Linked DNA regions of Danio rerio. The protein of the gene in region 1 interacts with the protein of each later gene in a pairwise test. Links are inferred from orthologs where the notes say so. Each region holds a gene or a part of one and is shown on either strand. Other genes may lie near its edges.

Evidence for each region.
Region 2: the proteins of exosc10 (region 1) and mphosph6 interact in binary tests that used the Homo sapiens proteins (3 or more experiments, as listed by UniProt). The link is inferred for Danio rerio from reciprocal best matches to the Homo sapiens genes EXOSC10 and MPHOSPH6.

Annotation. Positions count from the first base shown.
Region 1 is NC_133198.1:16,320,172-16,323,739, reverse strand, and holds part of exosc10 (exosome complex component 10), read right to left. Parts: intron 1,634-3,568; coding exon 1,525-1,633; intron 1,420-1,524; coding exon 1,344-1,419; intron 1-1,343. UniProt on the Homo sapiens protein: Catalytic component of the RNA exosome complex which has 3'->5' exoribonuclease activity and participates in a multitude of cellular RNA processing and degradation events.
Region 2 is NC_133200.1:38,541,787-38,546,132, reverse strand, and holds the start of mphosph6 (M-phase phosphoprotein 6), read left to right. Parts: upstream 1-1,540; 5' UTR 1,541-1,633; coding exon 1,634-1,684; intron 1,685-2,313; coding exon 2,314-2,426; exon of another isoform or gene 2,427-3,664; intron 3,665-4,346. Other genes in the region: snx20 (sorting nexin-20), read left to right, coding at 1-137. UniProt on the Homo sapiens protein: RNA-binding protein that associates with the RNA exosome complex. Involved in the 3'-processing of the 7S pre-RNA to the mature 5.8S rRNA and play a role in recruiting the RNA exosome complex to pre-rRNA; this function may include C1D.

The sequences.
Region 1 (3,568 bases):
TTAGCTTAGCAAAGTCTACAGCAAACAAAGTTTGGGGATTACAAAAAATACTTCTGGTTTAATGAGATCTTAAACCCTTTAGGTTACACACACCCCGTGCAGTGAAGGGGCATGGCCAGAGGTGTTGTAATGTTATAGCGGAGAAAGCTAAAATGCTGTCCAAACACTGTTATTTCCGCAAAGCTTGTTCTGTTTCTGTGTTTAGGCTTCTAAATGACATGACACAAAGAGAGAAGTGCTTACAGTTTAATTTTAATCATGTTCCAGAGAATCATAAAAAATATATAGCTAGCATTTGACAAAGGACAGCTTCAAGAATCTCTCCCAGTTCAGTGATGGATTCGGCTTAAAACTCCTTAAAGAAACAGCTCCAGCCATAATAGCAAAAGCTATGGACTGAGCCAAAACCTGTGTTTTTATTTGTTAAAATTAATCTATTACATGCACAGTTTCTAGCGTAAACAGTACAATGTAGCAATAACATAAACAAGGATGTAAACTACGGAAAATGCTGATTGGCACTACTAACAATTTAGCTACAAATTCATATTTATCCATCAAACCGCTGTAAACACCCACAAACTTCAGCTGCGCTGCAGGGTCTCTCTATGCGGCCGCTTTCCGTGCATACTACATCTCACGAGATATGTGAACATTTCATATTACTTAAACATTCACATAATCTGAATATATATATGAAAGACAGTTTTCAGGTTTTATTTTGGAGCAGGGATGGGGTTCAGCTGTATCCTCCTGTCTGATATGGCTTACAGCTACACTGACTGACAGCATTTACACAGCACATTATGTAAGATGACCAATCAGAGCCTCTTGTGGAGAAACTATTAATATGATAGTCGTTTTCATGTTAGCAGAGTAGCAGTATATATTTTAAGTAAGATACACGAAAAAAAATTATGTGATTATCTACAAAGGAAACATGAGCACACATTGCTTTGCATCTTATGAACACAACCAAGGCTTAAATTACACTCTGGACCACTCCTTTAAGACATAATATGCCAAAATTAAGTGAACTGTTCCTTATAACAAGCAAAATAATCTGCCTATATGGGTAGCAGAAAAAAATATTATTTCAAAGCAAAAACAAAATGATTTAGCTTACGCCATTGGTGGATTCATTTGCCTGGTTTTAAGGAAAACTCACTTGATTTTGGCATAATATTTCTTAAAAATGATATAATATATGTTCTGTTTGTCTAGAAAATGCTTCTTAATTTTAAGACTTTTTAGATATTTGGACTAAAAATAGACAAAAACAGTTTTTTGCAGTGTTAAAAGAACATAAATGTCAGGGGAGAAAAGCTGAATAAGGCTTTGACCTGGACTTCAGGTTTACACTTCAGATTCTCTGGCATGACCAGATGGTCCAATTCATACTGATATGGGTGGGAAAACCTGGAAAACAGCATTACAACTAATTTATTACAAAGAAGAACAAAATTAGCACTGATGCAAGGTAAGTAACAGAGGCATTGAATAAATCCCTTAAACGCATCTTACATGTCGTCCACGTGCTCTTTTGTCCTCTGCTGATGAATAAAATCTGCCAGAGCAGCAGGGACATCTAGATCCTCCGGCCTCTCCTTGCGAATGTGCTTGTCGGCAAAATCTGGTCACACATTTGGTTAGAGTTTAGTGTTTGCTTTATTATTTTTAATATACATTACTTTTTATTTTTATAGTTTTCCCTAGGGGTGTGCGATATTTATCATCCAAAACAACATTGCAATGGTTGTTTAAAGAATGTGTAAGCTTACATTAGCTAGGTTTCCATCCAAATAAATTTGCTAATAAAACACTATTTCAATTGAGTGAGACAGAGTGAAATGCATTTTTTTCTATAAAATAAATTAATTGTGCCTCAAGACAAAGACAAAACATAATGAACTAATAATACCAATAGACTTAGATGACAGACTTTGGCTGAGGGATTTTAGAATGACCAAAACAACATTTTAGATGATTTAAAATGTGGTCAAATCTGCTGGTTTATCATCACACTTATTTAAATATAATTAAAATAACTTTAAAGATAAATTTATTTTGTAAATGCATTTCCGTCTTTTTAAAGACTTAAAAAATGTATCCTACCAATATACCAAAATGAGCATAAAACAGGTGGATGAAAGAGAGTATTTACTGCCTTTTAAAAAAAATATTAAAAACAAATCTTGAGAGATCAAAATTACTGAATGAGTGATGTTTAAGCAAGTAAGCCGGGGCGCCGCTGACCAGTACGGGCCCTATGACAACATTCTGGTGGGCACTGTAGTGTACGAAAGTGAATAGCAGGTGGTGGGGGTAATAGAGGGAGTAGGGGTTGTAATAGTAACTCTGGGAGCCCCAAAACAGCTAACTTTTCCCCCCTAGCGGCACCCATGAAACTGTATTCAAAAATGAAATATTGATTTTTTTTTTTTTTTTAAACAATTGAACAAACAACCAAGTTAACATTAAGTTACCATTTTCTTTAGTGAATAAATAGTAACTAAAGAGATAGAGAAGAGCATTTGTTCATCTCAGAAAACACTTCTGTTTTGTTTATGAATTAATCAATTTTTTAACAAATAAGAGCTTGATTAGCTTGTCTAGGTGTGTCTAATGGGCTATATGCACTCAGACTTTTAATTTTCAGCCAGGCAGCCCAAGGGCTTCTAGTGAACTGTCTTTCCTTTAATAAATTGTCACATCTAAGATCTGATTTCTTTAAAAATCAGCAATCTTCACTGCCTGTTAAAAATGCGATATGAAATGGGTCTCAGATTGGACAAGAGGCACTGCATTAAAGGGTCACGAAACAACAAAACATTTTTTTGAGCTGTTGACAGTCGTATATGTGTCCCACACTACTAAAAACACTATTAGGACAAATATTTCACTAAAAAGTGAAAATAGGTTGTTTTAGCGTTATTTCGAGCAAATTCGTTCTTCCAGTTTGAAACCAATTTTTGAAGCCGTGTCACGGCTATGAGATTTTAGCGTGTATTCCAGCGTGTAGACTGGACGTCTGTACCTGAGAGTGCCTTATTACGTCTCGGAGTGTGCTGCATTCATTCATGAGTAAGACTTGGTTTAAACCAATCAGCGCGCTCTATTGTGTATGCGGTGCAACCTCAGTAATATGCATGGTAGCTTTGAAGACTGTTTGTACCTGTACAGTGTTCAGACGGCAGAGAGACGCCACGTTGTGTTGCCAAGTGGGAGAACAAGAAATGTTTGGATACGAGTCATCAGTATTGTGTTTATAATTTGCTGCAGTGAAGGTTTTGTTTTTATTTTCCCTCTATGAGAGCGCAGCTGGACTCACGTGTGGATTACAGTGCACACAAAGCGCAACAGAAATACGCGTCTAAGGAACATTGTTTACAGTGTGAACAGTGTTTAAAGACAGACCTTAGTCAAATGATTTCTAAGTTAATAAAGTTTACCGTACGCTAATATCACTACAATACTATGGACTGAAAAATCTGCTGTAAATGCTGCTCTCCGAGTGTAAACATGTAAGAACCACAATCAAACTTACAGTCGTGTAGGATTTTCGCCG
Region 2 (4,346 bases), on another chromosome or scaffold:
CTCTGGTTGATTTGGGGTTCAGTCTGGAGCTGCCGGTGGCTCAGCTACAGGACGAGCTGATCAGAGTTAATGACTCTCCATGTGGGAAAGAGACACAGATGTCTCTTAAAGAACTGGTGGTGCAAGAGTTTGTATGATTTTTTTGTGTGACTAAAATGATTATGAGGCGAGTTTCACTGCATTTATTTAATTATTTTGTTGTCAAAATGTACACAAATCTAAATTCTTTAATAACTTACCTCGAGAACCATTGATTTCTTGAATTTATGTAAAGGAAACACTGAAAGAAACACCAAGAAACTTGACTTTACCTTCAATCATTGACTTTTCGGCTTAGTCCTTTTATTAATCAGGGGTCACCACAGCTGAATGAACCGCCAACTTATCAAGCATATATTTTACGCAGTGGATGCCCTTCCAGCTGCAACCCAACACTGGAAAACATTCATACACACTCTTTCACACTTATACACTGCAGCCAATTTAGCTTACCCAATTCCCCAATTCCTGCATGTTTGGAGTGTGGGGTAAACCGGAGCACCCACAGGAAACACACGCCAACACGGGGAGAACATGCAAACTCCACACAGAAACGCCAACTGACCCGGGACTCGAACCAACGACCTTCTTGCTGTGAGGCTACCCAATCATCATATGCTGAGATTCAAATGAACCTTGAAATATTGTTTGATTGTACTCAACTGAGTGTTAGCTAAAACGTTAAATAAAAGTGGTAATTATGACGCTTGAATATACAGTATACACCATATAATTACCACATTTGTATTTCAAGCTAATTAAATTGCACTGCAAAGTGTTTTAAAGCACACAGTTGAATTTAAAAACGTGAAATAAATATAAAACAGTGCTTTAGTTCAGCTAAAGTAATACAAATGTGCTTAAAGGGGCCTTAAAATATATAATATTATAATATATATTAAATTATTTTAGAACAAACATATATTAACCCAATATTTGACTATAATGTGGTGAAAATAACTGTTAGTTACGCTATTACACGACAATAAATATGAATAAAACAACTTAATGCTATAACTAATGTCTGTATTTACAAAAATCCTCAGTAAGAAAATAAATAGCAACTTTTAAGTCGTTTACAGTTGTTATTTGCCAGTAATGAACTGTAACAAGCGAAGTTTGTACACAGTAAAGTAAAAACTCACCTCAGTAATGACTCCTTTCAGTGATTGAAGACGAACTGGCGTGTTTAATTAGGTAAATTTAACCATACAGGAAAGGGTTAATGCGCCACTTCAGACGAAAGCAATAAATTGTCGATACATTCGACAAAATTGTATATAGCAAATCAAATTAAAGTAAACGATACCATATAATACAGACTAACATTAACTTAAACGCTTTATTATGCGATTATACTTCAAACATAAGTAATAAATCTGAAATTATTGTCAGTGGATGTGTGTTGTGCGACTCGTCGAGTCTTGCACATGTTGCTAGAGCGCATGCGCAGAGTTCATGCGGACTGCTATTTATTTTAGCAGCTCGTGCTACGCACAGTAATGCTGCCAGTGTGGAAGACATAACTGTCAGAAAAGCTCGCTTTATCTCTCTTCATTCACTTAAAAACGTGTAGTGTTAGTTCTGATTTGAAATGGCGAACGATGGTGGAGCGAAGCTGTCTAAAAACCTCCTGCGGATGAAGGTAAATAATGTTAGCCGACTCTCCCAGTGTCGGAGGAATATGATGAGCTCGTGATTGGGATCGTACTAAAATGTCCTCGTGTTTGAGGTCGGTTTTGTTTTGATATGAACTGAATGCTGTAGATCACTCGCTGCAGAACACGTGACTGATAGACAACAGTCTGTCTCTGTGTGTGTCTGTTCATCTGTGTCTCTGTCCATTATTTTATCCGCCATATTGTATATCCCATTCGTTCTGTCCATTTTTTTCATCCCTCTGTCTTTATACTTGTCTGTCTTACCATCTGCCTTGTTGTCTTACTTTTCATGTTTGTTTACCTCGTCCTTTGGTCTTTCAATAAATCTCTATTTCCATCTTATTTTTTTTATCTGTCTCTCTTTCTGTCCATCTTTTCTTCCATCTGTCTTGTCATTTGGTCTGTTCTTGTCTTTCTGTCTGCCCATCATTTTTATCTACCTCCATGTGTCATTTTATGTCAACGTCTTTCTTCTGTTTATCTGTCTGTCTATCTTTTAATCTGTTTTTCATCTGTCTGATAATCTGTTTTTGTCTGCGTCCATCTGCTTGTCATTTGGTGTCTGCATCTTTTTTCCATCTGTCTGTCCATCTTCTCATCTGTCTGTCTGTAGTTCATGCAGAGAGGATTGGATGCGGAGGTGAAGAAGCAGCTGGATGAGGAGGAGAAGCGGATCATCAGTGATGAACACTGGTTTCTGGATCTGCCCGAGCTCAAGGCCAAAGAGTGAGACTTCAACAACTGTTTTTTTTACTCTTATCACGGTGCTTGTACACCCAATGAATGAAATAGTGTATGACAACAAATATCTGTGGAAACCCATTTCTGGTGCATAAAAAAGCCTCAATCAAAAACATCAAACCAATACCTAATTATACTAATACTCAATTAAAGGGGCAGTTCACACTGAAATTAAAATTGTCATCATTTACTGCACTTTGATTTATTCCAAATCAAAACAATTTATATTTCTTTCAGCACAAAATAAGATATTTAGAATAAAGCTGAAAACCTGTAACCAGGAAAAACAAATACTATGAAAGTCAATAGTTACCAGTTTGCAACACGCTTTAAAACATTTTCTTTAGTGCAGTTAAAAATTATTTAATCCCAAAGGTTTAGAATATTGACCAAAAGCAAGCAAACAAATAAATAAAATTCAGACATTTCCAATATGTTATATCTAGATCAATGGATCCAAAACCACCAGTAGGTGGCGACAAATACCTGACTGATTCAATAGTGTTTCTTCCCATACTGATAAACTTCCGGTGAACAGTTAATGTGACTTATTTCTAAGGGTGTCACGATCCTAAAGATTCTAAAGGCACGATTCGATTTTCGATTATGAATGATTAATTAATGACCAATTAATTATTTGTAGCCTACCGTTTAAACTACCTGACCTGCATGGTCTTTGTTTTACCCATAAACAAATCATACAGTAAATGAATAAAGGCAAGATGCACACATAATTACCTCCTGTCAATCACTTTTTCTGCGGGACTCGTGAATAGGCAGTGATCTGTGTCATTATAATGGCGTCTGTAAAAAAGACGCACAACCAACAGGAACCAGCCAACAGTGTCTGAGGTGTTCGCTAAAATGACAAAGTACAAGTGAGTGAAAGATTGAAGCAGTCCTCTGACTGCCTGGACCTGCTGTCTCGAGCGCATGGCTGTGTGTGCATCTGTGTCTGTGTGGTCACGTGATGTGCGTTTTCAGAGGTAATGAGGAAGGAGGGCTGCTCAGAAATGCTACACGCCACTGTGGATGTCAAATCGTTGTTGTTCTAAAATGCCATTTAAAAACAAAGACAGTGTAAACAGGGCCTGAGTGTGAACTTTTCGCGAGCGGATTTGCAACGGGGGCGGGCGGAGGATCGCGATGCTGGTGTTGTCTATCGGACGAACCATACGTAATACGTATATAGCAGAGCTTGCAAAACTGTGTTTTTTTTTTTTGTCGACAACACGAACGTTGTCAACATAACTCACTGGAAATCCAAAATGCTTAAACACCGGCGACTTCATTGAAAGAGGAGAGGGTTTAAGCTCTGTCGACGGGTCTCCTGCTTCTGCAGTTTAACAAGCACTTCAACAAGCCTGTTTTTTTCCCGCTTGGCAAGCCAAGCTGACGTGACATCGGGGCGTGGCAGCATCGACGATTCTATTTTGTAATTCGATAATCGAAATTGAGCATAAATTTCGATCGATTTCGATTAAGAATCGAAATCGTGACACCCCTACTTATTTCCATTCCTTTTACAGCATCTATGTTGTACTGCAAATAAAATACAATCAGTTAAATAGACCCAAGCATTTATTTAGTTGATCAAGCGCAAAACGAGATCAAAAGTTGTTTACTCGCACACGTCAGAATCAGCAGGCTAGCGCAGAAGCTCCATTTAACATACTGGGGTAAAATAAATGCTCATATTATAAAGACACGACGGGGGAAATGTAAATTAATGTAGTGTTTCTTGTACAATCTGAGACCCGCTTATATCGTATATCAATTAGGCATTGAAGATGGTTGATTTTTAAAGAAAACAGGCCTTTTTGTAACTGCATACAGTAGGACTGTGCGATAAATCGAATCACAATTTGAAATGTTGCGATTAGCTTATCACAAGAGGCTGCGATA